Arabidopsis thaliana: one gene and its partners. The main gene of each other region encodes a partner of the protein of the gene in region 2 in a complex. Each region holds a gene or a part of one and is shown on either strand. Other genes may lie near its edges. The genes, in order: NRPE3B, NRPD2A and RPB5D.

The links.
Region 1: NRPD2A (region 2) and NRPE3B share a complex: the UniProt entries of both Arabidopsis thaliana proteins name them as parts of the RNA polymerase IV and V complex.
Region 3: NRPD2A (region 2) and RPB5D share a complex: the UniProt entries of both Arabidopsis thaliana proteins name them as parts of the RNA polymerase IV and V complex.

The regions. Positions count from the first base shown.
Region 1 is NC_003071.7:6,708,696-6,717,822, forward strand, and holds NRPE3B (DNA-directed RNA polymerase family protein), read left to right. Parts: upstream 1-4,199; 5' UTR 4,200-4,326; coding exon 4,327-4,775; intron 4,776-4,964; coding exon 4,965-5,202; coding exon of another isoform or gene 5,203-5,223; exon of another isoform or gene 5,224-5,418; coding exon 5,419-5,691; 3' UTR 5,692-5,914; downstream 5,915-9,127. Other genes in the region: FUT4 (fucosyltransferase 4), read right to left, coding at 650-2,094, 2,187-2,349. UniProt on the Arabidopsis thaliana protein: DNA-dependent RNA polymerase catalyzes the transcription of DNA into RNA using the four ribonucleoside triphosphates as substrates.
Region 2 is NC_003074.8:8,565,285-8,578,046, forward strand, and holds NRPD2A (nuclear RNA polymerase D2A), read right to left. Parts: upstream 8,926-12,762; 5' UTR 8,728-8,925; intron 8,566-8,727; 5' UTR 8,536-8,565; coding exon 8,119-8,535; intron 7,399-8,118; coding exon 7,171-7,398; intron 6,720-7,170; coding exon 5,839-6,719; intron 5,460-5,838; coding exon 5,168-5,459; intron 5,037-5,167; coding exon 4,143-5,036; intron 4,046-4,142; coding exon 3,741-4,045; intron 3,189-3,740; coding exon 2,687-3,188; 3' UTR 2,288-2,686; downstream 1-2,287. Other genes in the region: AT3G23770 (O-Glycosyl hydrolases family 17 protein), read left to right, coding at 272-317, 396-1,742, 1,875-1,912; AAE16 (AMP-dependent synthetase and ligase family protein), read left to right, coding at 9,984-10,136, 10,449-10,640, 11,088-11,202, 11,799-11,886, 12,339-12,547, 12,619-12,734. UniProt on the Arabidopsis thaliana protein: DNA-dependent RNA polymerase catalyzes the transcription of DNA into RNA using the four ribonucleoside triphosphates as substrates.
Region 3 is NC_003071.7:17,221,776-17,231,551, reverse strand, and holds RPB5D (RNA polymerase II fifth largest subunit, D), read right to left. Parts: upstream 2,793-9,776; 5' UTR 2,527-2,792; coding exon 2,287-2,526; intron 1,711-2,286; coding exon 1,534-1,710; intron 1,445-1,533; coding exon 1,331-1,444; coding exon of another isoform or gene 1,259-1,330; exon of another isoform or gene 1,254-1,258; coding exon of another isoform or gene 1,236-1,253; coding exon 1,110-1,235; 3' UTR 903-1,109; coding exon of another isoform or gene 654-902; 3' UTR 501-653; downstream 1-500. Other genes in the region: AT2G41342 (uncharacterized protein), read left to right, coding at 654-902; AT2G41330 (Glutaredoxin family protein), read right to left, coding at 3,277-4,485; RR3 (response regulator 3), read right to left, coding at 8,016-8,340, 8,476-8,546, 8,780-8,857, 8,960-9,060, 9,170-9,272. UniProt on the Arabidopsis thaliana protein: DNA-dependent RNA polymerase catalyzes the transcription of DNA into RNA using the four ribonucleoside triphosphates as substrates.

The DNA of each region.
Region 1 (9,127 bases), on a different chromosome or scaffold from region 2:
GTGAAACTACCCAATGGCCAAACTACTCGTTGATTTGAGATGGGCATGAATATTCATCAAAAAATCACCTATTTTATGAGGAATGATCCAAGGAATCCATCCCAGGTTCGAGCTGGTTTAGGAGATGACTAAGGAGGCCTCAAAATGGGTCCAAATAAGCTTGTTCCCATGACCCAATTAATCCAAAGAAGAAGAAGCCACAGAACAAAAAGGGTGATCTCCACTTGCATTTGTGTTCACACTTGGCCACTTCACAAACGGCTTGTCTTATTCACTAACTCGTCCCCTTAAGTTTTTCCATATCCTGATTGAGTGCATCTAAACCCTCCAATCCTAACGGCTAGAACATCAACCTCTCCTTCAATATTTCCATTTGATTTTGCATATTGTATAATCTAGTAACCTTTTTATGATTTTAGACCAACTGATTTATATTTTGAAATGATATAAGTTAAATGTGAAATGATATTTATAAAATATTATAACCAAACAAAACCTCGCAAACGTTTTAGACAACTAAATCTTTCTATGCAGTAACATATTAATACTAATGATTAAATAGAATAAAATGAAAAAGGAAGATATATAACATTTATCCTATGTTTCAATAATTCAACAATCAAATCAAATCAAATGTGATAAACAATATCTATAACTCATCAAAAAGCTTAAGCCCCCATATATCCTCACAATACCTAACAAAAGGAACAACTTTCCCCGATTCAGTTCCCCATGCGTCAGGTTCACATCCATGAGTCGGAGGAGTAAGGAAACAAGGCTCCATCGACGTGGATCGAACACACGGCGGATCAGGAGCTTTGTTATCATTTGGCAGATAAAGTAACCATGGCTTTAATCCTCCAAGACTATAAGCAACATATCCAAATGTTGACCTTGAGCTTGCAACAATGTTATCGGTTAAGCTCAAAAGATACATCTCAGCAAGCGCCTTTTGGTCGTGAACCTTCTTGTCTGTTTGTTGATACCTTTCTCCACTTGGCTGATATACTTTAATAATCTCTCCCGTCATATTTGCTCGCTCTGAAAACATGTTCTCTAGTTTCTTAGAGTACTCAGGAGACAAAGAAGTGACAAGAACAGCTTTACTTTTTGGAATGTTCGATATGTTGACTTTTGATTCTTCTTGTGTAGCCAATTCAGGCAAAAGTTTCTCTCTTTGTGTGCAGGATATGACCTGGTCCATGACGTGTTGGTAGTATCCACCTTGATCGCGAAAAACCCGAATTTGAATCCCGAGTCTCTCATCTGCTTTGGATAAGTGATCATGGTAGTACTTAGTGACGATATCCCAAACTTGATTTTTAGGGTGAAAAAGATACCGACCCAAGTGGTGAAACACGGTTTCTTTCTGCGGAAACAGCTTCGTTAGTTCGGTTTGGAAAGTTGGATTAAACCATAAAGATGGAACAAAGTAAACATTGGCTCTAAATATCAACCAAGGGACTTTGTCAATCAAACTTTGATCCTTTTGGCAGAAGAACATCTTATCACTATCCCTTGAATCATGAAGGTTATGCATATATAGATGTGGCGGGAATGAAGTCGAGTTGATGGAATGATTTTCCAACATTGTTCCGTAACAACGAGAGTATCCCTTGTGGTATCCATCAGCATATTTCATCAATGGAAAGTCGAGAGGAAGCAACCATGAAGTACCTGGAAATGGCTCGCATAAGAGATCACCAATATCCTTGCGGTTGTCAACAAGAATGATTCTATCAGTCAAGAGAGCGTAGAGGAACACAGAAGCAAGAGTGAGTAGTCGGTTTCCAAGCCCGTAATCAGCGAGCCACACAACGTATCGGCATTCACCATCTGATTTGCTTGCATTATAATTCTCATCATGACTAAGATGCTTTGTTGCTTCCTTGTAAGCTTTTGTCCCTGGACCGCAACGTTTGTGAAGCATCTCATAGCTTCTAAGCTTCGAGACAAGATATTCAGACGGCTTGTATGGTGAAGGCTTGCGATACAAGAAAGTTTTATGATACCTACTCAAGCAAGAACCTTCATCGAAATCTGCGGTTAAAAGCCCTCCTATTAGTCTATCCCGCCCCGGTGTTTCGGATTCGTCTGAACATATAACAAAAAAAAAGGTCAAAAGGAGAATTCTTTGAGCTAACAATGAATGACAAAACATGGATGCTTATTTTTTTCTTTCTTACCGTTGATTGTAGCAGCAAAAAGTTTATTGTTGAAGTTGTTTGAGAATGAAAGTAACATAACAGACAAAATTAGTAAGGTACTAAAGACGATGGTTATCAGAATTTTCGTCTTCAATCCCAAACCCTTGATAACTTCGCCGGAGATCTGAAATATATGATACATGTTGACTTTTAGTTTGTGAAGATGATTCAAAAAGAGTTTACAACGCTTATATAACTTGATTACAACTTTTAATGTCAATCACTGATCAATAAGATAAAACTTTGAATATTCTAATGTGTCATTGTTAAGTTGTGACTATCAACGAACTCCAAACGTGACTCTATTTTGTTTAATAGAAGAAAAGTCTTTAAACTCCAAATTGTGATTTTGTATTATATAATATTCAGAATTATCGAAGAAACTTCCTATGGGAGAGCTCTTGTGAATTATTAACAATTTGGAATCCAAACAACTAGGATTTGTCAGGCACGTTGTGAAGACCATGACATTGATGTATTGAAATATGCAATAATTTGTAATTACATAAATATTGAGATCTGTTTGACATGCCCAATCAAAACATACAATCATGTCAATAATTAAGTGATCCCAAATTGTTTAAACGATTTACCTTAGTGATCAAAGTCCTAAACTCGTTTAAAAAACTAATGGTCAAAAGATTCCTAAAAAATTGCAAGTAGGCCACGAAACATAGAGAAAGTGATATGAACTTTAAGTTTCTAACAATACACCAATAAAATTATGGTCCAGATTTTGATCTATATGTAATAGGTTCATGAACTTAGTTTTAAAAGTCACAAACGGTATACGTAGATTATTGTTAACATGAACGACTAACAACGACATAACACGCGCAATTCATATGACTCTAGATGTTACCCTTGATATTCACATGCATGTAAAACTCTCAATATGCTATTTGAAAGTCTCCGGGGGTTGCCACGTCATCACATCGCTCCAAAGGCCCCATTTGTTTTTTCATTTTTTTTTCCTTTATTAAATGTTTTTCTCATCGACCAATCGTCCTCTGACTTTTTTTATTTTGACGAGGGAAATGTATTCAGATTCGAGCGGAACCGCGGTTGGCCCGGTAAACCCGATGACTCAGTCACTAATCCAGTTTGGCTCCAACACTACAATCCGCTAATTTTCAATCAGGTAAATTTTGAAAATCTCTAATAAATTCCGGTAATGGTATAACCCGCGATATGGTACTACTAGTTGAAACCGTCGTGCTTAAAAATGTTGATTAAAATTCAACTTTTTTTTTTTGGCTAAACTGCAAATATCATATATATGAAAAGGATGGTTTTACAAGGAAGTTAAACCCGGAATTGGTTTCTTGGCAAAATAAAAATAAAAAAGGAAAGCAATATTAGAATTTTGGACCAGACATGATCAGTGCACTTAAAGCCCCAAAACCCACTAAAATTCTATTTTTAAAAATAATTTATATTTTCTGTTGGATAAAATATATTATATGTAATCTTTTAGATTTAGGTCAAGATTTAATTGTGTCAATGAAAATAAGCGGAATAATTATGAAAATAAGCGGAATAATGATGAGTACAACTTGTACATTGTCCGAAACCATTCACATAATTACCATTAAAATTAATTATGTAAAAAAATTTTAATTGTAATTAGAAAGAATAATTTTGGAAAAACACTATATAAAGATTAAAACAACAAATTTACCATTATTCTTTATGAACCAATGCATTTTTAATCCTTTTTACTCTTTATATAATGTTTTTAATCCAAGTTACTGTTAAAAATATGGAATTTCGATTCTTTTTAATATTTGTATTTCCAAAATTATTATTATGTAATTCAAATTATAAAGATTAAAAAGTCTTAAAATAACATTGGGTCATTATTTGAATTGATGTAAACAGAAAATCCATTGTAGACATTTTGACCATTCCCAATAACTGTTATGAGAAGCCTGAAAATGCCCAGTAAACAAAAGAATAGGCCCATATAGGCCCAACTTAAACTACTATAGTTCTTCTTATACCTTTTTCCACTCTCACTCACTTTGCTCTCTCCAAATTTCTTCTTCTTCTCCGGCGAAGAAATCGAAAAGTCATTACCCTAAGAGTCCCAGAGTCGTCAGAAGGAACAGCTTTTGAAATGGACGGTGTCACCTACCAAAGATTCCCAACGGTGAAGATCCGTGAGCTTAAAGATGACTACGCCAAGTTCGAGCTTCGTGAAACCGACGTTTCAATGGCCAACGCTCTCCGTCGCGTAATGATCTCCGAAGTCCCCACCATGGCAATCCATCTCGTCAAAATCGAGGTTAATTCCTCTGTTCTCAACGACGAGTTCATTGCTCAACGACTTAGTCTCATCCCTCTCACTAGCGAGCGTGCTATGAGCATGCGGTTCTGTCAAGATTGTGAAGATTGTAATGGAGATGAACATTGCGAGTTCTGCTCTGTTGAGTTTCCCCTTAGTGCTAAGTGTGTTACTGACCAAACCCTAGATGTTACTAGTAGGGATCTCTACAGTGCTGATCCTACTGTTACTCCTGTTGATTTCACTAGTAACTCATCTACTTCTGATTCAAGCGAGCACAAGTAAGTCCCTTTTCATCATTGTAGTGATTATTTGTTCTTTATGAATTGATTGGAATTGCTAAGCTTAGATATTACACAATGCTAAACAAAATTTGACATCTTTAGATGCCCTTTGCATGAGTCTTCCTTTTGGTAGTTCTGTGGCTTTTTTTTCTGCAGTTTCTTAGACTGTTATTGTTTTGGTTTCAGGGGAATTATCATTGCGAAACTACGCAGGGGACAAGAGTTGAAGCTTAAAGCATTAGCTAGGAAAGGAATTGGGAAAGATCATGCGAAATGGTCTCCTGCAGCTACTGTTACGTATATGTATGAGCCTGACATTATTATCAATGAAGAGATGATGAACACTTTGACAGATGAGGAAAAAATTGACTTGATTGAGAGCAGTCCTACCAAAGTGTTTGGCATTGACCCAGTCACCGGACAGGTTAATTTCGATGTTCTGTAAGAATAACATCTATACAAGTTTATAGCTTTGAGACTTCAATATGATTGTACTACTTTATAGGCTACCATGCTTTGAAATATATGTATGTGATGTGGTGTATGAATTTTCTTTAAGTGTTTAGTGCGTTTAGCTCATTTCTTTTGCAGTCTATTGTTTGAATCATCACAACTGTAATTATAATACTTTGCTTCTTAGGTTGTGGTGGTTGATCCTGAAGCATACACTTACGATGAAGAAGTGATCAAGAAAGCTGAAGCAATGGGGAAACCGGGACTCATTGAGATCCATCCGAAACATGATAGTTTTGTATTCACTGTTGAGTCCACAGGTGCATTGAAGGCTTCTCAGCTGGTACTAAATGCCATTGATATCCTGAAGCAGAAGCTTGATGCAATCCGTCTCTCAGATAACACTGTAGAAGCCGATGATCAGTTTGGTGAACTCGGTGCCCATATGCGTGAAGGATGAAATCGTAGCTCTTTTTTTACCTGTTTGATCAGGGTTTAAGTTTCTTCTAGACCAGACTAATATATTAACCGTAGCGGCACTGCCTTGTTTGATAGCAACATGTAAAGTGGCAGTCTTGTCTTTGTTCCCGACCTCTGACTGATCCTTGTGTTCCTGAACCTTGTTATGTTGGGTTATTTTTAGTCGTTGAACTCTCTCGTAATTGGCGTTTTTTTTGTTGTCATTGTTAAGAATGGGTTAGTTAATATAGGAAAAAAGATTTTAATTGATATTAATTAAGGTAAAAACAAAATATTAAACTAATATTGAAAAGTTTAATATTATATTAGTGAGATACTCTAACAAAACCAAGTTAATATTTTTCTATTAATTTATCTAAAAAAATAATATATATCCACATGTTAGATATATATATGTATACTTAAAAAAAAAATGTGAGTGGATGAAAAATATTTGTTTCTTCTTAATGCTGATACCTAGGAGTGTCAAAATGGGTAACCCAACTCAACTCAACTCATAATCAAATGAGTTTAAAGTTAAATGAGTTATAGGTTGACCCAACTCATTTTGTTAAATAGATTGGATCAAACTATAACTCATTTAATTTGATGAGTTGAGTTGTTAAATGGGTTAACACATTTAAGTAATAATTAAATTAATTTATTTACGTGTTAAACACTCAACTGTAATGGCTACTCTATGTCTTCCTCCTACTTAATTTCCAATGCTTCCGGAATCCTTATCTTACATTTCTCGACCACATTTTTGAGTAATAGTAATAGGCTAAGGCGCTCGCCGTAAATTATTTAAGTGCACCTGAGAGTAAATGAGTCAATAGGTCAAGTTGCTCCAGGTATGAAATTCACGAATTAAAAATGCTGTAATATACTCTTTCCCATAACTTCTCATACCAGACCAACATTATTATTATAAAACAATAATAAATAATAATTATTATTAATTCATTATCATCAAACTTATGATATTTACGGATTCCACTTTTTACGGGTTTACGTTTTTGGCGGGAAAATCTTGGATTTACGTTTTTGGAGGGAAAATCACGGGTTTACGTTTTTGGCGGGAAAATTACGGGTTTACGTTTTTGGCGGGAAAATTACGGGTTTACGTTTTTGGCGAGAAAATCTCGGGTTTACGTTTTTGGCAGGAAAATCACAGGTTTACGTTTTTGGTGGAAAAATTACGGGTTTACGTTTTTGGCGGGAAAATTATAGATTTACGTTTTTGGCGGGAAAATCTCGGATTTACTTTTTTTTGGCGGGAAAATTACGGGTTTACGTTTTTGGCGGAAAAATTATGGATTTACGTTTTTGGCGGGAAAATCTTGGGTTTACGTTTTTGGCAGGAAAATCACGGGTTTACGTTTTTGGCGGGAAAATCACAGTTTTACGTTTTTGGCGGGAAAATCACGGGTTTATGTTTTTTGGTGGAAAAATTACGAGTTTACTTTTTTTTCAATTTCATCCCTTGTATATTTAAGAAATTTGGAAAACTATTAATTTTATTAAATTGATTTAGATGTGTTGGTTAGACTTAAATTGACATTGGTTTAGAGATTTTAGTTGGTTTAATTCAATTTTACAAAACTTGATGGGTTAATTGGGTAAACCATTGAAACCATTAACCATTACAACTCAACTCATTTTACTCATCAAACCAATTGACTCATCAACTCATTTGACCCATCAACTCATTTGAGTCAAAAATTTCAACTCATTAGGGTCCATGGATTGAGTTGAGTTGAGTTTGACCCATGAATTTTGACCCATTTTGACACCCCTACTGATACCTAATAACATCTTTATTTGAATTAAGTAACATAAAAATTCATAAACTTTCCAAGATAAGCAACACATGAATAGCATGAACTTCAATATGGAAGACCTTTGCATAGTGGATATCCAATTTTAAATTGCATACCTCTTGAGGGTTTATTAAAGCTCTTTCAAGTTCATGAACGTCAGTCACAAAATAAGTTTATGGTGAGTAATGATATGTTGTTCATTCTTTACTTTTACATATATATAGATAAAGACTGGTCCGATGGACGGGTTTATTTTCTTATAACTAAATTCAAATTTAACAAAAATAATAATTGACAACGTTGTAAGTTTTCAAAAGTAAAAAAAATATATATATATATATATATATATATAAATTTCACTGTTGCATTGTTTCCTTCACCACTTCAATTATTTGAATGAAAAATATATCATATATCAATAACTCAAATTATTTGAATGAAAAATATATTACGTATCAATAACTTTTGGTATAGATATGAATACTAAAATTAAAAATATTCATCATAGAATTGGTGAACGATTCCAAAATGGTTTTAAATTAGACACATTAAAAACATAGAATAATTGGTAAGAATACCCTTTCAACATTACCTATTTTCAATTATACCCTTTCTTATTTGTCATTTTCATTTATGCCTTTTTACTCCTATTTGGAAAATGTTTTAAGTTAACAAAATAAAATATTGATTTTTTCCTGCCTAAAATATTCTGAAACTAAATTTTCCGCCAAAATTTTCCCGCCAAAAAAAGTTTCCACCAAAACATTTTTCTCACAATTTTTTTGACGGGAAATAGATTTACAAGGGATTTTAACAGTTTTTTAAAGGGTTTTAAAATATTTACAAGGATTTTAAAAGATTTTTTAAGGGTTTAAAAGGGTTTTAAAAGAGGGAGATTTGCAAAACTACCCTTTTTTTACTACCCTTTTCCAACAATACCCTTTTATATTTTTCATTTTTAAAAATATCCCTTGCTTTGAACAGAATGACTAAATTACCCTCATCTAATAAAAACATGTAATTGGAAACTGAAAGTTTCCCGCTATTTTTTTGGTGCCAAAATTTATTTTTCCTGCTAAAAAAAAATTTCCCATCAGATCGTCCGGCTCGGCCCAAATGAGAGCTGCTCGGCCCAACAACATCAAGTCGGCCCAGATGAAAGCTGCTCGGCCCAGCCCGACAAACTTGAGAGGGTAAAAACGTAAAACCGCAGGGGAGACCCTAGGTCAGCTCCTAGCCTATAAATAGCAGAAGACACTATTGGGAAAAGGGACCAGGAGTTATTACCTAGAGAATTTAAGAGAGAATAGTTGCCTAGCTCTGTTATCTCTTGCTTTCCCGTTTTCCGTTTTGTATTTTCTGGTTTTTCGATTTGTACTTTCGGTTCTCCGTTCTGTACTTACGATTCTCCGTTCTGTTAAATTACCGTCTTTTCCGTTCGTCATTAATAAAGAAGCTACTCCGTTCTCCCCAAACCCCTTAATAATTATTGTTACAACCTCTGTACAAACAATTGGCGCCCACCGTGGGGCCAGACAGAGTTTCTTCTGATATTGACAAACAGATACGATGTTGCCAGTAATCCCGGAGAGCCACGACGAGATGACGGAAACC
Region 2 (12,762 bases):
CGCCTTTGAACCAACCAACTAACCAGTCTTCTTTAACCTTTCATTAACGACACTAATTAAAAAAGAAACACCAAAGCACTGTGAGAGTTCAAGAAGCAATTAATAGTTTGAGCTAAAAGCTTTTCTTGCATGAACGATATTATACTAATCCTTAAACACACTTCCTTAATCTCTTCTTAAATACTCCTCAACAAGCTCTCTTCTCCTTTATCCCAAATCACACTCACCACTCTCTCTTCTCAACATTTTTCTCCAACAAAAACAAAAAACAATGACTCCTTTTGCTCTGTTCCTCTTCACTCTCCTTGCCCTTTCAAGTAAGTCTCCTTATATATACATTAAGATTACTTAAACCATAATCTTTCTTTTTATAACTCACTTATGTTTTTTTATAGGTTCATGTTGCTCTGCCATTGGTCCACAAAACAACAGAACAGTGTTAGCACTTGCAAGCAGAATTGGGATCAACTATGGAAAATTAGGCAACAATCTTCCTTTTCCTTACCAATCAATCAACCTCATCAAAACCATTAAAGCAGGCCACGTCAAGCTCTATGACGCCGATCCAGAAACCCTAAAGCTCCTCTCTACGACCAATCTTTACGTCACCATCATGGTCCCTAACAACCAGATCATCTCAATAGGTGCTGATCAAGCCGCTGCTGATAACTGGGTCGCCACTAATGTCCTTCCTTTTCACCCGCAAACCCGAATCCGATTCGTCCTCGTTGGCAACGAGGTCCTCAGCTACAGTTCTGATCAAGACAAGCAAATATGGGCTAATCTTGTCCCTGCCATGCGTAAAGTAGTGAACTCTCTTAGAGCTCGTGGAATTCACAACATCAAAGTTGGGACACCTCTTGCCATGGACGCTCTTCGTTCGAGTTTTCCTCCTTCGAGTGGTACATTCCGGGAAGATATCGCTGTTCCGGTGATGTTACCGTTGTTGAAGTTTCTCAATGGAACAAACTCTTTCTTCTTCCTTGATGTTTACCCTTACTTCCCTTGGTCTACTGATCCGGTTAATAACCATTTGGATTTTGCTCTGTTTGAATCGAATTCTACTTATACCGATCCTCAAACCGGTTTGGTTTACACCAATCTTCTAGACCAGATGCTCGATTCGGTTATCTTTGCGATGACCAAGCTCGGTTATCCGAATATCAGTCTCGCAATCTCTGAAACCGGGTGGCCTAATGACGGTGATATCCATGAAACCGGAGCTAATATTGTCAATGCCGCGACGTATAACCGGAATTTGATCAAGAAGATGACTGCTAACCCGCCACTCGGTACACCAGCTAGGCGCGGTGCACCTATACCGACGTTTTTGTTCTCTTTGTTCAATGAAAACCAGAAACCCGGTTCGGGAACAGAGAGACATTGGGGAATTTTGAACCCTGACGGTACACCGATCTACGACATCGATTTCAGCGGTAGAAGATCGTTTTCTGGTTTTGATTCGTTGCCTAAACCGAGTAACAATGTTCCGTTTAAAGGTAATGTATGGTGTGTGGCGGTTGATGGGGCCGATGAGGCAGAGCTAGGGCAGGCGCTTAACTTTGCTTGCGGAAGAAGCAATGCAACATGTGCAGCGTTGGCTCCAGGAGGAGAATGCTATGCACCGGTGACGGTTACTTGGCATGCAAGCTATGCGTTTAGCTCGTACTGGGCTCAGTTCCGGAACCAAAGCTCTCAATGCTACTTCAATGGTTTGGCTCGTGAGACCACGACCAACCCTGGTAAGTTTCTCTTAACTTGTCTCACAAGAAAACTCTACACAGACGTGTAAATACTCTTTAATTTCAACTTTTTGGTGAAATTCTGGAATATTCTTATGATTGTAATTTGTAATGGTTACTATCTTGTTACAGGAAATGAGCGTTGCAAGTTTCCTAGCGTTACATTGTGAGGCTGCCTCGTGACTCAGGCGTGTGGAGGAAAGGATCAAAAGAATCATTCGCATTAAGTTGATTATATCTCTTGATAATTATGATTAGTTTCCTTTTTATTCCAAGTTTTTACTCTTTGTGTCCCATTGTTGTGCAAGATCTATAATAATCTATAGAAATTTGTTCCTCATCCCTTCTCATTTCTCATATATCTAGTAGTTTATTAATGTTCTGAAGGAAATTATGAGAATTTTATAACTAATTCAAGAACATGTTTTGCGATCATTACTATACGAGAAATATGAAGTTTTTGATTCACATGTTCCTAAAGAACACGAATATGAAGAACATATAGTAGTGCTATAGTGTTCTTATTTGAACAAAGCGATTGAACGGAGTTATGAGTTATCGCATTATGAAGAAAAAAACAGAACCAATAAAATCATAAAATGGAGTCATGACCTTCTATATGAAAGCGAAATCGAAGAATGAGAGAAACGACTCCGAGCAAGGGGTTTATGCCTCCGGAAGAAGAAGAAGACAATGAAAGTTTTCCTAAAACTTTACTTTAGATCCGAGAATTATTAACGGTTAAAGAGTCAAATCTCACAAAAGCAACACTTACGGGTTAGTTCAGTCATCAGTGGCTCGGTTTTACGATTTCTTCGGTTCGGATAACCCTTACCGAATCAACCAAACCAAAACCTATACTACTAACCAGAACCGGGACTGAAGCAAACTACACATAACATGGTCTTAAGGCAATAAGCCATTTACATAATAAAGAGGGGGAATCAGCATAGCTTGGTGTCGAAGTTGAGAGTGATGCCCATGCTGAACAGCTCCTGACACAGAAGCTTAGCTCCATACGGAACATAGACCCTAACCACATGGTCTGAGGATACGCAGACTCTACAATATGGCCCTCTAATCTTTCTTCCACTGCTTGGAGTCCTCTCGATCACATTCGCATAGGTCTTACATTTTCTGCAGATGTGCATCTGAGAAGAGTCACTTAGAGTGAAGAGACGCTCATGCAGATTAGCTGATGCACCGTGAGCTATTAGGCAGTCTCGCTCCATTTCTCCAAATTTTATCCCGCCAAATCTCTTCCTGTCTGCAACTGGCTGGCGTGTGAGCGGGTGGACTGGTCCAGTGTTCCTGAACTTGACTTTGTCCTCTGACATGTGGACAAGTCGCTGGTAGAAAGTTGGGCCCATGAATATCATAGAACGCATCATCTCACCTGATCTACCGTTGTAGACCCTTTCGTTTCCCCATCTTGAAAAGCCGGCCCTAATCACAAATATTTACCATTGGTAATGAATCAGGACTCAAGAATCAACAATAATCTAAGAAAGGTTAAATGAATTATACATAGATCACAAGGCTCACAGCATCAATCCTCTAACTAATTATATACTGGTACATGACTCTTGAGCCTATTTTTCTGTATTCTCTAGACGTTTTTCAGGCACAATACAAGAAATTAATCAACCATAGAACATTGAACTTCTTAGTTTTTTAGTCTTACAGAGACAGATAACTCATGCTCACTTCTAGTACTCCTAGAAAACAAAATAAAGATCCACTATGACATGTTTCAAGTAAGGTGCTCAAATCTAGCTTAGTGCCTTGTGCAGTATATTAGCTCAATCAACTTTTGGAAATTCTGTAGCCAAAGTCTCCAAGTTTAAACATCTTCAACGAGGAAATATTATCAATAATATGTTCCTGCCCTTAATGATATCATCTATTTGTATAGGAAGCAAATGTAAATCTGTTATAGCATATAATTTTATATTCTGTTTTACGAGCTAAAACCAAGAGACAATGTGAAGAATGTACCTGTGAAGCTGCTCGGTGATTTCAGTGACACCCGGAGTGGAGAAAGGAGTGGCATGACGTGTCAATTTGGTGTATGCAGCAGAGCTACCCTCCTTTTGTATAGGACAAGCGATTCCTTTGGAGAGAGCAGCCTCCAAGAGTTGACCTGGTGTTTGCCTAGAAGGGAAAGCGTGCGGGTTTATCACAATATCAGGAACTATGCCTTGGATCGTGAAAGGAAAATTCTGCTGTTCCTCTAGGTAGCCTAAAACACCCTTCTGGCCATGCATACTGGAAAACTTATCTCCAAGGCATGGAGAACGAACCTGTAAGATGTAAAAGCCAATCAATGGAACATTCGATTCATACATAGGAATGCATTCTCTGAAAAAACAGCTCGATTTAGTATGATCTGGAACTTACCTGTCTCAGAGAAACCGCAGCAAAATTCTTCCCTTCATCATTAGATGATAATACCACTTTTTGCACAATTCCTCTCTCAGTGTGCTTGAGCTTTATACTGTGATCAGCCCCAGACTCGGTGCATCTGCCAATGACAATATCGCCAGTACTCATGTTAGCACCAATGAAAGGAAACCCGTCATCTTCAAGGCTGTCTACTTTGCCGATTTTGCTGTGTGTCTTTCCAAACTGAACAAGCTCATCCATCTTCTTCCTCTTCTCTGAGTCTTTAGCATCAACCTCTGCTTTGTAGCTTCTAATCTGCTCTGAACGGAACATACCACGTTCCAATGAAGCCTTGTTCATCACAATGGAATCCTCTTGGTTGTACCCGAGATGAACATTCACAGCAACAATTGCGTTCTGGCCATTGAACAGCACTTCTTTTTTAAGACACTCCGACGCCAATGTCTTGAACAGTGGCTTCTGAGGATAGAACAGCTGCTGGGACAGCGTATCGCAGCGGATGTTAGGGTTCGTTGATGAGAATCCAATGGCTTGTTGGCAGTGCTTCTGGGACTGGTAGAGAACTCTTCTCCCATGGTCGTGATTTGCAAATGGGACAACTGCACAGCTCACACCCAACAAGAATGACAGGTCCAATTCGCAATGTGTGTATATCTTTGGTTCCTTCAGAAGCTGTTTGATTCCCCATGCTGTATTACAGTCTTCTTCTTCCTCAATCCCGATCAGCTCGAGAATCCCATGGTCAAGAAGATGGTCAAAAGGATACTGTGAAGGTTTTTCTTGCTTCAACTTTTGGAGATTTTCCACAACCAAGAGAGGTCGGAGTAGTCTACCAGCATCAGTGAAAATTCTTACCTCATTGTCATCTTTATCTCGCTTGATTTCCATCTGCAGAGAACGTTTCATATATATAAACAATATTCGACATAGACACATCTGAAGCAGAAAAATCCAAAGCAAATACCAAGTAACACAAGAATATCAAAATATAGCAAGAGATTTGCTGAAACAGAAGATACCTCACGAGGTAATTCACTTTGGCGCCGCCTGCTTTTTAACTCCGCGACAAAGGATTCAGAATCTGCACATAATCCAACCCAGTCTCCATTGAGAAGAACTTTATGTTTGCCAAACAATGGTGTGCATGTATCATCCATCAGCTCTTCCATTCCACAAGCGAAGAGCTTTTCCACCACAGACTCCAAACTTTGGGTGCTCACAAGTCCCAGAAGAGACATGTTCTTCACAAGACCACAATTTTCACCGTCTGGAGTTGACAAAAAGCATACTCTGCCCCAGTGAGAGGGGTGCCTGTGGCCAACATTACAAACAATGCAGCTATAGTTCAGTTTCCCAACACGATTTAATTGTCTAACCGCTCACATTGAAAAGGAACCAAAATGGATAATCTCAAGAGTTCAACAGATAGATTGACCAAGGGAGAAAGAAACAAGAAAGACAGTATCAGAGTTTTTTAATAGCAGTAACATCTATACAAAATAAGTATTATACACAGACAAGAGACTGCAGAAACAGTGATCGGCATCATATACTACATTGAATTAAAGTTATTACGAATATCTTTAAAACAGTCTGAAGACATGTAAAATGGAGTAAATGCAGACCAGACCAGTAAGTTAAAATACGTGAGATATATTTAAATATACCAGAGGAGGTGGAATTCACTTACGGATATCTAGCATCTCCAACCTTGCCGGTATATAAGACTTGCTGTCGCGTTCTCCTCAGATCAATCAGAGTCTGCAATGGATTTGCACGACCCAAATTAGCCACAACACCTGAAACCCTTTCCATCTTCCTGAAAGGATGAGACCATGCTCCAGTAGAGAAGGCTCTACTAAGCCCATTTGTGATAACAGAAGCATCCAAATAATGCTCAATAGGCTTCAAATCACCATCGCCTGAGAGGTGTTTCTGCATGGCCCTGGTCATCTTTCTTCTAGCATGTGCCAGATGCACCCTTATCTCCCTCTCCAATAGTTCTCCAGCGAGCTCAATTCGCTTATTCCGGAAACTGTCCCTGTTTTCGCATTTTCTTTTTCCCGCATACGAGTTCAGAAGGCACTTCACCATATAGCCCAGGAATCGAGCTTTCTTCTTCAAACTTTGGAGGCCTGGAAACAAATACAGATGGAGGCACTCATCCACACTTTCAGCAGGAGGGAATTTGGTGCTTTTGATCTGCTGTTCAACATATGTTAAAGCATTGTTCCCACAGCGAAAAGCTTCACAAACTGCATCAGCTACATGGATAGAAGCTATGAGACTGTTGGTAATGCTTGCATCATCACCATCAAAAGCAATTAGATCCATGGCTTCTTTGTCTGACGAAACACCTAGCGCAAAGAAGAGGAGCCAGACTGGAATCTCAGTCGACAAGAAGTACACTGTCAGTACTTTCTCCCTTCTCTTATAGTCTTCTGCTTTCTCATTCTCCGAGAGGCGCACAATGAATCTATTTCTTTTATTTTCGGACCTGAAGGAGACTGTCCATGGTGAATTAGAAATCCACAGTCTCTTTGTGCACATCTGTTCTTGAGCTATAAACACCTGCAAAACAATATAATAACGTTAGGGAGAAGTATAACAACTTGAAAATATTTTTTCCAGAATATATTAGAGTCAAATCATCTGTCCCAGAGCCTAAGATTGCAAAGAACGCTTCCTGTAAGATTTGAATACTCATGGCCTCATGGTCAAGCCAGAAAGGAAAGAAAAAGTTTATATCTTTGATGCTAACGAAGTATACAAAGTCATAAATAAGTTAAGTTTCTTAATTTCTTACTTCATCTCCATTAGGAAAATAAAATGAACCAAATAGGTTATTGTCTAATTTGTAACATCTTTTTGCTGATAAACACTATTATCTGATGATAGAAAATTGTAACTATAATCCGTTTTATGGATTGCTGACAAACAAAATCCGTTTTGGCATAGAAAATAAAGTTATTGTACGTATTGAATGGCAATATGCATATATGTATGTATTAGTTAAACTCACCTTCTCAGCCCCCTTTATCACGAAATATCCACCCTGATCAAAGGCACAATCCCCCTTTTTGCAGTTTTCTTTCCCTTTCTCGCTTGTTTTGCAAAGGATAGATTTCACCATGACAGGAATGCTACCAATTAGAATGTCCTGCTTTTTGACATCCAGTATCTTCTTCTCGACATAGTTGTCTTGTCCTGTCTTGAATTTGTCGCTTTTAACAACAGTATTCTTGAACACCTAGTCAATTTATAGAGTGAAGAAGCAGTTAGACAATAAACTACATTTATAAGAATAAGATACATGGACAGCAAAACAGAAACATCATCAAAAGTTTGACAGTACAAGAGTCATTGCACACAAGCATAAAACACTCAAACTAAAGCACAGTGAGGCAGTGGGGAAGAACTAAATAAAAAAAAAAGCTGAAGATGTTTTTCTTTTATTGCATCCAAACTTTAAAATGAAACAAACTAAAGCTTATTTCGTTTGAATACCCACCACTACAAGGAAAAGTAATCACAATTCAAATTTTAAACAAGAAACATCTAAAGATTGGGAGCAGACAAAATCATCAATCTTAAACACAACCAAGCTTGAAATACACCTCTACTTCACACGAACATGTAACTGTAATAAATCTCTTTTACTAGATATTTTGCTCAGGTAAGAAATCCAGCGAATGCAAATAAGGAACCAAATCCAATTACAGAAAACTTGTAAAGCCAAAAAGAGTGAAACCAGTTTCAGACAAATATGTTCCTTAACCCTTAGTAAATTATTTGATGGCAAGTTAAATTGAGAAATCTATGACAGGAACCTCAGTGTATGTCAACATCTTCATATATGTGTCAGAAAGAGTCTAGTAGAAACATCAAGAAATAAGCTTATACCATGTGTTCTTTATCATTCATCAAATCCAGACAAGGTTACTTAATTTCGACAAAGAATTTCTGTTACCTCAACTTGGACATTGACTTTGATCCTTGCAGAGTATGTCATGTTCTGAAGCCTAGCATGCCATGGGAGAAACTCAAGCTCCTTGTCATCCGAAAAGAAAGTAGGCTTCTCCACAGTGACTTCTCCGAACTTCACCGTTGCGTATCTCCAATCATTATCCTTCTTCTTTACAACATCAAAAGACGGTTCCACAAGCATCTCACCAAAGGATTGAAACACATTCTGAAGCCCGTGTTCAATGAAGTAGTTGTAGGAGTTGAGCTGATGACTTATAAGTCCATACTTATCAAAGAAAGAAGTTGCAGCTTTTTTGCAGAAACTCTGCAGAAAACCTTCTCCTAGCTCAGATAGATTGATCTCCCCAGTAGTAGCCTCGAACTCTTCAAGATCCTTCACATCAATGTCCATATCTGGCATACCTCAAAACACACTGTACGAACAAAAACCCTAAACAAAGACAGAGAAATTGATTAAAAAGCTGTGAAAATCATGAACCACGAAAATGCAATCATGCGAATACAAACACGAAATCAACAACTTTCCCTTAGAACCGAATCATTCTCCATAACATATTCTCCGATGCTTAAAAGCAGAATCAAAGCGTATTACCTAAAATAGGTACCTTGATTGCTTAAAGCTGGCACGATGGAGTAAAACGGCGGTGTCGGAGGAGTGCAGAGTAAACGTCGCCGGAAAATCGCTGAGAATGCGGAGAGATTCGACGTAGAAAACCCTTGGCACACTTTTTCAGTGGTTAAGCGAAGCAGTCAAAGAGAAGTGAAGAAATTGACGTCACTAGTACTAGTAGACAATATTATTAAATTTTGCTCTTTGGTATCTATATTTTTATGTTTAAGTTTTATTTTATTTTTATTTTAAAGTGAAAAGGAAATATATTTAGAAGTTCACATGACATAAAATTTGTAACATCTTTTTTTTTTTCCAAAATTTGTAACATCTACATTTTGGTTTTTACATCTAATTCGATTTGGTTGTTTGGTTTAATAAATTTCATATATAACTTAATTTTGACCAAAACACAAAGAAAAAAAACAACACATAATTCACTAAAAAAGCTCAGAGCAATCCCAATGGTTTAAAATCAATTAATTTTTAATTTTGGATCTTAAGCTTATTTTAAATTAAAATGTTGTTTTTACTAAGTTAAGAAAAGTTAGGAAGAAGTTTAACCAATTTCTACTTCAATGGTTAAGAACGATTAGAATTTTAAGAAACAACAAACTATTTCAACACAATGTCTACCCACTCAAAACACAACACATATGCTTTTCTTAGTTTTAAGAAAATATCTTAATAAAGATGTTTTTGTTTAACCAAAAAAAATAAAATAAAGATGTTTTTTTTTTTGGTGAGTGACGGAGAGGCTTAATAAAGATGTTTATCTTAGCTAAAGTTTATTGGTTTCATTAAATTTAATCACTTTTATACCTAAAAATTAGCTAAGATACAAAGTTGGGGTTGCTCCTACAGTTTAGAAATAATCATCAAATAGTTACCAAATTTGGGACATCATAATTATGGGTAGTTTGATTTATTAGGTTAAATCTGATCTAATTATAGAAATATAATATATAAGTAAATAAAAAGTTATTATATAAGTGTAAGTATTGAGCTCTGTTTTTTGTTTTATTATCTCTGAGAGTCTGAAGAAGCCATGCTTCTGTAGCGGTGCCAACCAACTTGGAACTGATCTTTCCTGTGAAAAATCGTAATCATGACATCGACCTACTTTCTCGTCTCTTTCTTTCTACCTTTCTTTGCTTCTTCATCTTTCTCTCTTTCTCCTCTCATATATTCTCTCTATGCAAGCAACTTCATCACGATAACCTCTTATCTCCTCAGCCATGGCTTCAACGTCTCTCGGAGCTTCGATTCTCGTTTCTCACTGCTCCTCAGCTCCTGAATTTCAAGTTTCTGGGATGAGATTGGTGTTTGGTTACAAGGCTTTTGGCTGCAGAACTTCACGCAGGGGATTTCGAGTTCGCTGCGAATCCAAGGCGAGTTCCTTTTTGGTTTGTGGACTTAAAAAATTGCTCCTTTCACTTTGATTTTTGAAGTAAGTAATCTAAAGAAATGAATTGACTTTGGGGAAGGTTCAAGTTTAGCTGTTGCACCAAAATAGACAACGAGTGGCTCTGACTTCTGAGTCTTATTAGTTTAGGATACTTGTCTTATGAAAGCTGAATTGCTTCTGATGACCAGGGTTTAAACAGCTTGATCCTGAAAGGCTTTTATAGGGTTCTTGTAAGTTTACCTTATGGTTCATTTCCTGAATTATATGTAACATCAATTGTGTACCGTTCTTATAGATTCAGGAGAAGGAGTTAAGGCGGTGTTCGCCATTCTTAGAACGCTTATCATTGCCAAGGGAGGCTGCTTTGAGCTCTAATGAATGGAAGTCTGTTCCTGATATTTGGAGATCATCTGTGGAGAAGTACGGTGACAGAGTTGCGGTGGTAGATCCGTATCATGACCCGCCTTCTACATTCACGTACAGACAGGTAACACTACTTCGCATCTCATTGCTATTATTTTAGATCCCCACACTTTTGAAATAGAGGTTTTTAAAGCAAATGACAGAACTTAGGGAAAAAACTGAAGTTTAAGAGTTAAGATTGATTGGCCATCAGCTTTTTTTCTTTATCGATTAGTTTTGTATCTACATATCTTAACTGCTTGTCAATAAGAAGGTAGCTAGAGGGTGCTGAAGATGAACCATATTCGAATGTTAGGAAGCATACTAAATTGATATTTCCTTATGATTATTGTCAGGCATGTCCCTTGGTATTTGCTGTGTTAATCTATATGTTAGGAACCAATGTTGTTTCAGTTATCTGCCTGAAATACTTCCTGTTGCTAGATAGGTGGGTAATTACTTTTGAAGTTTACAGTGATGCTAAATTTGGATGAGTAATGGAACCTTTCATTTCAATCATCTTATTTTGCAGTTGGAACAAGAAATCTTGGACTTTGTTGAGGGTTTACGAGTCGTTGGAGTGAAAGCAGACGAGAAGATTGCACTTTTTGCTGATAACTCCTGTCGATGGCTTGTTGCGGATCAAGGTATGCAGTTGATTATATAGAACACTTTCGAACTCTATAGTGTAGGAGAATAACAATCTATTACATAATCTTCTTAGTGCTTGAGCCTTAACTGTTGTTGGATGATGTCACTACACTTGGAATACTGAATTTACTGGTGCTTACCTTACACATTAATTATTTTTTCATTTCCATTCCAGAGACCACCAATGATCTGTCGAGATATTATTCACTTTTCTTCCTTATAAAGTAGTGCTTTATCCATCCAAACGACTAAATAGTCTCTCTCCATTCTCTAGATGTTTCTGAAAGGGAAAAATAATCAACCTTAAGGCTTCTTAAGTTCATACTCCAGTTTGAAAGTCTTTCATTTCATAGTGTATGGCTGGCTAAGTTTCATGCCCAAAGAAGTGAAAGTCTAGTTAGAATTTTTCAATTGACATGGAAAGTTAAATTTCACTCTTAGGTGGCAATAACATCATGGTTCTCGCTTGGGAAGTTGCCTTAACTTCCCTGCTTTACTGCAATAAAATTCTAATTATTTCATTTGGTTATTCGATTTTTTTGTTTTCCGCAGGTATTGGTATGTTTACGTACTCTTTACTACTTTATGCCAGGTATAATGGCCACAGGAGCAGTCAATGTTGTTAGAGGATCCAGATCGTCTGTGGAAGAGTTATTGCAGATATACTGTCATTCGGAAAGGTACACCTAGACCTTTTTGTGATCTTGTTATTTCAAGTGAATATCTTACTCGAGATAGAGGCTAGCAAATTACTCTATTCAGAATTTTATTGCTGTATACCAAAAAACACTTACTTACCACTTGTGTCATCAAAATTTATTTTTTATATGAACCATTTTTAGAACTTCTGTCACTTCAGATACATGTAACTGTCCTGCTTTGTCCAAGAGAGATTTCATTTAGTTTCATAGTGATCTGCACTCTTGATTAGGCGTAATTTTAGTCAATGTTTGGTTTCACACTTGTCTTATGGTTCTTCATAATTTGGAGGTTCTTGAATGGCACAGACAGAATTCTTTGGCCCTTCAATATGATTGTCTTTTGAATTACCTTTTATGCGTGTCTCCAGTTCTTATTTCCAAATTTATTCAGAGTACTGAGTTTTGGTAACTTCTTGTGATTTACCTTGCAGTGTAGCCCTTGTTGTGGATAACCCTGAGTTTTTCAATCGCATTGCGGAGTCATTTTCTTACAAGGCAGCTCCAAAATTTGTGATTCTTCTCTGGGGGGAAAAATCGTCGTTGGTTACAGCGGGTAGGCACACACCAGTCTATAGTTACAACGAAATTAAAAAGTTTGGACAAGAGAGACGTGCAAAATTTGCAAGATCTAATGATTCTGGTAAGCGCCATATCTATTTTTTTACGAACCCCTTAGTGATTTCGACAGTGCTAACAAAGGAATGACTGCAGGGAAGTATGAATATGAATACATCGATCCAGATGATATAGCCACAATTATGTATACCAGTGGAACCACAGGAAATCCAAAAGGTGTTATGCTCACACATCAGAATTTGTTACACCAGGTTCAAGCTAATACTTATTGTCAAAACG
Region 3 (9,776 bases), on a different chromosome or scaffold from region 2:
ATTTGGGGTAAAATAAAAATTCACACACCCAGAAAAAATGGTGTATCGCTTCTCACTGTTTTGGATCAAACGACGAAGAAAGCAATAGAATTGGAGTGATTCAAACAGGACGAAATCAGTTGCAAATTTGAATTTTTGGGTAATGCGATCGCGTTTTTGTTGGAACCCTAAATTTTCCAGATTTGGGAAAGAGAGATAATTAGAGCGATGTTATTGGCGGATTTTGAATATAACAGTTAATTCAAAAAAGGCCAATTTCTCATAAAGTTTTTTTTGTTGGTTTAAAATTCTCATAATATTCTTTGTGACTAACAATTAACAACAAATCTCAAAATTTTAATGCTCTCATATCATTTGTTAAATGGTTTGGAAGCATTAAAAGTGTTAACCTGTGAAATGATAGTAATGACAAAATGATTTCGTGATTGAAATAAATTGTTAATAAATTGTTTTGTTTATTGACGTCACACTCCAATATTTTTATGTATAAAATGTGAAGCAAAAAATTTCAAAACCACTAATTATTTCAGCAAATACATAATTTGGTCCAACACTAAACCAACCCTTCTGTCTCTATCTCATTTGTTCTTAAACTTTCATCTATTTTCGTATCTGAATAATTCTTTTCATCAAAGATTTTAGTTTTGAACCACATGGGATCAAGTTTGTGCTGTTCTCGCGATCCAGATAGCACCAGACGTAGTACGATGGGGAGCACTAGCGACCGGAGGTGGCAAACCGGCGACGACAAGTATCTATCGGACACAAGCACCTTTTCCGTGAAGGAGCAAGAGCATCAGCTTAAGGCGGCCAGACGGGAGGAGCAAAGACTTGGCCATGAAGCTGAGAAAGTCAACTCATGGGTCAAACATGAATCAGCCAGATTCGACCATCGTCCATAGTTGACCATTGTTTTGTTTTGACCAAGCTTTCTATGTTTTTGTAAACTATTAAACAGAGTTGTGTATTTATGTTAACCACACATTAATTAACTATCAAAATTGTTTGGTTTAGAGACCACAAGAAACACATTACAGGTTTTTACATCAAAACATGTTACAGATAAATTGCTACACAAAGAAAGAGCTGAAAATATAAACAAAACGAGTTTAAGAAACGCATCGGTATGTAACATGCGACTCACTGAGCTCGTCTTTGTATGTGACCTTCATGACTTGCCCTGTCTCTAGTCCATAGTATCGCACAATCGGGTCTTTGCTCGATAACCGAGGAAGCTAACCAAAAAAAACATTCTAATTCAGAGAAAAGCTGGCTCAGAGTCAGAGCTACTAGTACTAGTAATGATCCAAATACCAAAAAACTTGCTTACTTGTTTCTCCTCAATACTGAACTTCTTGAGAAGTGATTCCTTCTCTTTATCGTTCAGAACCTGATGTTTTGGCCTCAAGACATGTTTGCTTACGTTAACCAACAAATCGGTAATCTAACAACACAACAAGCGCAACCAAGATGTTATGAGCCAAATGTGGGAACACATAACCTAACACGGTACTCAAGATAAAGATATATTACCTCGAATAACTCGACCTTAAAGGAGAAAAGTTCAACGGCTTTAAGAGCTTGGTTCGTTATATGACTTTGCAAAACCAGTATCAGTCCGGTTATATTTTCTCGGCTAAGCACATCTGCTGCAATGACGCGCATCGCATTGACTTTAACTATACCAGTTCCACAAAACACTACCGAGATCTGAAATTCAAATCAGAGAAATTGCTATGTACTTGTGACTTCAGTGACAACAGCAAACGACGATAATAAATTTCAAGGAAACAACCTCGCTGAGGAGTTCTTTTGCAGTTCGGCCTAAGCCAAGTACTATATTATTAACTCTGAATAGGAGAAGCCAAGAACAGAGAATAATGTGAAAATTGTTTATTAGAACTCTTAACCTTACAAGTATTACTATGGTAATTACACATTAACTAACTGATTAGTGCTAACAAACCCAATTACCTAACCATTCTTATCTAACCAAATTTAAACCAGTCGAACCATTTAGATTTTTGCCAGAAGAAACAACGTCTCTGTTTCAAAAACAGAGGAATCAGATAAAACCAAACCTAACTAGGAACCAAGCTGGAAATCAGAGGAAGTCTTTAAAAGTAGAATGCTTTCTTCAGACAAATTGCATATTACATACAACTAAATCAAGTCAATGGAAAACACTAAGTAGATTTCAAAAGCTAGGCAGAAAAATCAACATGCAGAGAAAGAAAACCATCAGAAATCGAAATCACATTCGTATTCGTATCGAATTCCAATTACCTTTTTCGAAGAATCAAAGCGATGTTTGGCTGAGATACGAAGTAGATCTACGTCAGGATGTTCCCCATAGAGCGCTCGAAATTGCTGGAGGGAGAGGTTAATATCTTCGTCGGAGACATCGTATCCTCTGTCTCGGAGCATCTCCATGGTGGTTCGACGTGCCAGGTAATATTTGTGACACTCTACACTTGATTTACTAATGGAATGTCCAACCACTATCTCTTTCCCTTTCCCCTCCATCGTCTCTCTCTCTCTCTCGGTCTCGGGGAAGGAAGCAAAGCTTGAGTAATGTGAGGGGTTTGAAGATGATAAGACCCGTTGTCGTTTTCAATAATCAGTTTACCCGTGACGTTTTTACCGTGACAGCGGATGAAGTTTACAAACAGACTTGGATGGTAGCCAATGATCAAGCAGGTGATGTAGTCAAAGGCGATTGTTCTGTAACTTTAGTGACACTGGTTTTTGGAAAAATGGTAAGCCATACTAAAATAGCTAGAAGAGATAAGATAGTAGATGACGTTAAGAGACAATTACTGTGGAATGCCTAGTAACATTTTCGTTACCGCTACTGCCGTAACAGGTCATCTGTAAAATGTAACAAAAACAAATTTGTACAAGACCAAAAGGCCAAAACAGCAAACTCTAATTTTTCAGTTTGCATATCCATATTAAAAAAAGGTTTAGCTATTATTTTCAAAGAAATAAAATAGTTCTAGGTTTACATAAATATTTTCATCCTGTTTGTATTTGTTTGGAAAAAAAAATCATTTTATAACATGTAAATTACAAAGATCAACGTGAAGAAACAATTGAGGCTTGACATTCTAGGTTTGAGCTTTAGGCCACTTCTTATAATATACAGCATGAAAACAAACAAATCATTCAAAGAACACAACCAACCAAACATATCTTAAGTCAAAAGTTATATCTTTAGATTCTTTTTCTTCTCTTCACATTTTCACAACAACATCACTCAAACGAATCCAATTACTAAAGACAACACTTGTTACAACGTACCAATCCATTCTCATTGCATCCATTGCATCTCTTAAACCCATCTTCTTGTTCCTCAAACACTTTAGTACTACCGCCACAATTAGTACACGGCACAAACCTTGCATCTCCGCAGCTATCGCAGGCTCCAATGGATTCGCAAGCAGGAAAATCTTTTAACATCTCTGCCAGTTCACCTCCATCGTTGAGTATCTTGATCTCCTCAATTCCACCAATGCGGACGCCTCTTATAAACACCTGAGGCAAACAAACCGGTTTCTCTTCGCCGAGTGCATTCTGAAGCTCTTTCCTGTATTTGGAGTCCATTGAGATGTCACGCTCCTCTACCGCAACCTGAAACCCTCTCAATATCGCTCTAACGCAACAACAATCTTCATACGTCTTTCGAATTCCTCTGAGGCTAGTGAAGTATACTACTATCTTGTTCTCGTTATCTTCTTTTTCAAGCAATCTTGGTTTCTCTTGGTCTTTTTCCGAAGTCTGAGAACTCAATGGACTAGAAGATACATATTCTGGTAAACTGACTAAAACCGAATGATTTGAGTGGCCATTGCTACTGTTCTTGCCTAGCTGTTTGGAGGACAGTGCTCTTTTGTAAGATGAGATAATGTTAGGATCTAAATCAGAGAGAAATGATTCTTCAGACATATGTTTCCACAGAGGTTGCTTAGGTTTAAAAGGCAATAATCTCCAATCTTCCTCATCTTCGTAAGATCCATACGCAGACCCATTAATAACCACGTCTCGATTCGTGATGGGTTTAGAAAAGGAATCCAAATTTACGACGGAATTACTCTTACTTGTATCGGAATTCGCGGAATCGAATTCGTCGTCGAGGTCGTTCATGAGCTCCCATGTGTTGATCACTGAGTCAGGAGAGAACGAGTCGCGAGCCTCCTCTGTTTCAGGCATCTTCTTGTTACTCTTCCCGGAAACGGAGATGTGAGGCAATGTTTGTCTGTCGTCGAGAACAAGAGAACCGTAAGTGGTCGATGTAAGAGAGACAAAGTGGTGTGTGTCGCCTTTTTTAGCAGGTGGATGATGAATCGACGGCATCGGAAATGTGAAAGCTTTAGGTACCGATGAAGAAGGGATGTTGAATTCCGTCTCCGGAGGTGAATTCAAAATCGATGTTATAGAAGAAGCAGAAGCAGAGGAAGCGGTTTTAGAAACAGAGGAACCCATAATTTCGAAGCAGAACAGAGAAGAAGAACAAATGTAGTTTCTACACTCTTTTTCTGGGTATCTTGTACTTTTTCTTTTGTCGGAGAATATAAAAGAAGAAAGAGAAAAAAGAAAGACAGAGAGAGAAGAAACAGGTGGAAAGGAGCTGTCTAAGTAAGTTAGAGGTGGAAGATGGTGAAAACACTAAAGAAGACGATTGTGATGTTGATTCGTCCATATCGAATTTGCTTTGATTTGATAACTAAGGTAAGTATCCATTTGATCCTTATTTTTAGAGCTTAATTTCAGAAAAGTAATTATAACTGAAATCAAAGAAAGTAAACTGTCAAGATCCTCAAAAATTGCATAACTTCCAAACGTGAACTAGCCAATGACTCCCACTAATATAATTTTTCTAGGGTAATAAAAACAGAGCAAATTAATATCCAACCTTATAGAAACTTAATTGTTATAGAAGACTAAAATAAAATATCATACCACACATTCAAATCCCGACGACACATACAAAGTAAAAGTTGGATATAAGTTTACTGTTAGAGAAATTGTGCTGTGCACTGATACTTTCTGTTATATGAGAATAAACATGAAGCTGAATCGCACAAGGAACACTCATTGAAGATTCCTTTGGTACTTTGCCTTTTAATAACTGGAATAAATAAAGAAAATATCATCATCATCATAAACAAAAGCAAGATGGGCAAAAGAAGTTATTTTAGTTTCTTTTATGTATAAAAAGAAGGAAATCTTGGTAACTTATCCGTAAAGAAAGAAGCCAACGCGCTAAATTTGTTTAGAATATTTCAATATGTATGTACTTTTTTGCTTTTACCAACAGAAAAAGGAAGTGAAATCTTTACTTACTATTTGCTTATAATTTCTTCATGTCAAATTTGAAACAAGTTTCTGACATAACTCGTCCTACAATTAGTCTTGTAACATTTTTAAGCTATTTGAATGATTCTCAACTAAAATCAGCTGAATCTCTAGACTCTAGGAATGTAACTCATCAAATGGACGAATATAGTCCAAATTCACATATCATTCATCACAGTTTGAAAGTAATTCACTTTTGGAAATAAGAACCAGAAGACAAGCATCAATTGACACACATATTATAATTCTCTCAAATCAGCAGAAACACACACAAATAATTAACACGTATAATATATCTATGAGCAAACAAATCACCTATACCTATATATTTATCTCCTCTATAAACCCAAACTCTTCAATCTTTTGGGACGATTCACACCGGAAAAAAAAAAGCTGAAAATCGAGTAGGAGCTAGGAAAGAGGTGAAGAATGTAAATGTGATCATGCGAGATGTAAAGGAGGACCAACTTCTCGGTTTCTGAGTGAACCAGCAATCTCGTCGGCGATGGACAAACATGTTAAAATCCAGCCGCTCAGAGCAAACCAAACCGTTTTCGTCAAAAGCATCGCCATTTCCAAAGGCATCGCCATAATCTCTCACTCTCTCAGTTTTGTGAGCTCAATTCATTTGGCTGAAGAGAAGAAAAATCACTGGAAAAATTGGGAGATCCAATGGTGGAATTTTTACGGTAAAGGAGATGAAATATGAAAGAATAATCAGGCACGTGGGACACGAGAGGATCTTTCCAGCAATAAGACATCGCCACGTGTGGGTTCTGTTCACCAGCCGTGTCTCTTTCTGGCCAGTTAGGACAGCGTTAGGGGACACGTCACTGTTCGACCAATAAAAAGAGAAGATCGCAACCCAAACTTTATCAACCCGACCCAGTGGTTGATTACTTGGTACTATATGTTATGCAAATTTTGATAGTGTGTTTATTTTGTTTTTAAATACCAAAATAAATGTCATTTACGAGCTAGCTGACATTTCCCCAACGAACTAATAATTATTCCCTTATAATTGGACATATTTTGTTTCCTTTCATATTTATAATTAAACTTTTGTATTTTTCCTATCGTTAGTTGATAGTACTTCACAAAACAACAGAAATATTGCATAAAAAGGAGGCATAATGAATATTACTCATGTGATTGGAAATAAATAATTATGTAAAATAATTTGATGCAACAAACATCACAGAAGCTTCCTTTTGTCACATTTTTTTTTCTTTTTAGATAGTTCTTGGAATGTTATCTCTAATCAAAATTAGGGCTAATGATTTTGCTTTCTTTATAGTTAAACGTTAATATTATTGTCCAGTTTTGAAATACTGAAAAAAACGAGAGAGTACACAAAAAAATAAGAAAGAGAAAATAAAAAAGTGATGGTCCAATCGGAGCGGCTTATTGGGTCATAGTGGGCTCGGAAGGCAATGGCCCGTAATCCTTCCACCGTCAAGAGCGGGAGGTGGACGCTGCTCTGTGAAACCAGCCTCACGCGGTCTCCCCCACTCTAGAAGACATGAGACCCGAGCCTTCGCTCGAAGCCCATGCCTCAACTCCCAACTTGGAATGGGCGGGCCAGAATATAGCCCAACCCGAACCCGGCCCAATGAGATCGACCCAACGTCCCATCCCCTTATTGTCTCCACTTGGATCACAAGCCCGCGTTACTGAGTTCGACGTACAATACTCGCTACCTTCCCTATTATATACAACAACAAAACGTTTTGTTTTTCCGATGTGGGACAAATAGCTCTCTTAATACAGTTTTCGTTTCCAAAGGGAACAAATCATAAAAATTTCATCTTCAATCTCAGGAATTATATCTTTGAAGCTTGTTCGTATCAAAAGGCCAAAACTTTCGACCACTTCCAATTTTTGATAAGATTGGATTTAGATCTTTGATGCTGTTACACCCACAAGATGAGAGAATTTTACAATTCGTTTAATGGTTCTTAAGCTAGTAAATGTAGCTGTTAGTTTTGATAAGATTCATTACTAATTCTCGAAAGCTTCAATCTTTGCAATAGTTTTGGATTCTTAAGCTAGTAGCAAGAAACTTCCCAAAAATCTTGTGGGTTTAACAGCATGAAAAATAAAAGAAAAAAACGAAGAAAGCTAATCTAGGGGAGAGAAGTAAATTGACAGAGAATAAAACAACTACTGTGTCCGAGACCATCCTGGTTTTGAGCCATTGTTAGTGTGCTATCACCTGAGTGAAAAGAGAGAACAACCAAGAAACAAGTAAGATAAGAGATGACAAAAGCTATAGTATGAAACCACATTTCTAGTGTTGCTACTTACCACTATCTGAATGGTTTGAAGCTTCTGATTGAATAGGTATTCGATTTAGTGGATCTCCTTGTGTCTGCATTGTCTCTTTTTCCTGATGATAACGATGTTGCTGCGGTATTACTCCTAGCAGTCCGTTGTTGTTTGCTTCATATTCAAGAGTTAGCAGATCTTCTACTGAGAGATTCTGTTGGCATTCTCCATATAGGTCTTGTAGTGGCTTCTCGGGTTGCGTTAGTCCTCCTTGCAGTCCGTTGTTGTTTGCTTCAGATGCAAGAGTTAGCAGATCTTCTACTGAGAGATTCTGTTGGCATTCTCCATATAGGTCTTGTAGTGGCTTCTCGGGTTGCGTTAGTCCTCCTTCAGACCGAGGTTGTGATATCATTGTATTTAGGACGTGATCGATCAGTAGAAACCACTTCTTCCATTGCTTTTCTCTTATTACTACTCAACATTGGTTCAAGTTGTTCGGATTCAATTTCTTGGTGGAGAGGCAAGATTTCAATCACTGATGACTCTTCTTCTTCTTCTTCTATCTCCGGTTTAGACACCACAATCTCTTCTATGGCAACTGGTTTCTCACTTTCTTTCTTCAACTTCGTTTTCATCATATGAGGTTTCAACTTGGTAAGATCAGCTAACTTCACTGGTTTCAAGAAAAACTCTTCAGCTCCTTCTTCCAAACATCTGTTGGAAGAAACCACCACAATTTTGTAGATAGTTCAAAGACTTATTCAAACCAAAGAATCGAATAATAGTATCCACTTGCCAATTCTCAAATCAATAATACTCAAATTAACTTTAAAGAAACAGAGCTCTTACCTGGAGATTCTTGCAGGAACGTTCTCAGATGACATTATAACTACAGGTATACTTCTAAACGCCGCTGATTCCTATACACAACAATCATGTAGATTACTCAGAAGCAAATCAATTGTTCTTTTTTATCAAACAATGGCATAAAGGAAAGTTTTTGAGTGGGAAAATATTCCAAAATGAGATTTTCAATTTCTCCATTGACATTCTCATTTGGAAAAGAAAACTAAAGTAAAAAACTTTATTTCTTTTTCTGGAAACGAATTTAGCCAGAGATGGAAAAGACAGTAACCAAATTGAGAAGAAATACCTTAACTTTCTTGAGCAAATCATAACCAGTCATGCCAGGCATACAGTAATCTGTAATTATTAGATTTATTTCAACTTCCTGCTCAAAAGCCACAAATTACAAACAAATCTCAATATAACCATTCATTGCAAATTTCGAAAGTAACCAACTTTGAATCATGTAAAAGATCAAAAACTGAACCTGATGAATTTGTGGCGATGTAGAGAGTGCATTTGGGTCGTTGTCATCTACTCTTAAACCCAGAAATTCCAGAGCTTTAGAGCCTGAATCAACTGTAGTTACTGCAAAACATAAGAACAAGAACCAAATAAAGAAACCTTTTTTTCAGTATATCTTCCTTCTCTTTCTCCAATACATATAGCTTAAAGATTATGGCTTTTTCGAATCTACCTTGACATGAAGACTTTTGAAGCAATCTCTCAATCATTTTCCGATCAAAAAGACTATCATCAACAGCTAAAACATGGAACTTTGACTCTGTTTCCATTACCATTGTAGATATTCAATCGAAAAAAACTAAGATCTGAATCTAAAATAGACAAACCCAGATGCAAAGTTTTCAACTTTGTGTTTTGTTTTGATATCCTTCTTTAGAAAGAGATTAAAAAAAAAACGGTTTTTTTTTCTCTACCGGAAATGTTGAGAGTTCTGAATGAGCTTGTAGGAGAGAAGAGGAGAAATAAAAGGGGGTTTGTATTTTTCAACCCAAATCTCGGATAGTGAGAGAGAGACGAATAAAAAGGAAATAAGACTAATTGGATCTAGCTTTGGTTTACGGAGTAAGCAAGTTTTTTAAATGATGAAAGTAATTTCCAAGGAGACAACGAGAGAAAGAAATTTAAAAAAAAAAAAGACTTTGATAATGGATAAAATAAATAATGGAAAGAAATCTATATGAAGATTTTAAAGGATTTGTTTAGCCCACCAAAGACTTTTTTTTTTTTTAAGATAAGAGGATGAGGGATTTAATAATGTGTATACTACCACAACCACATGC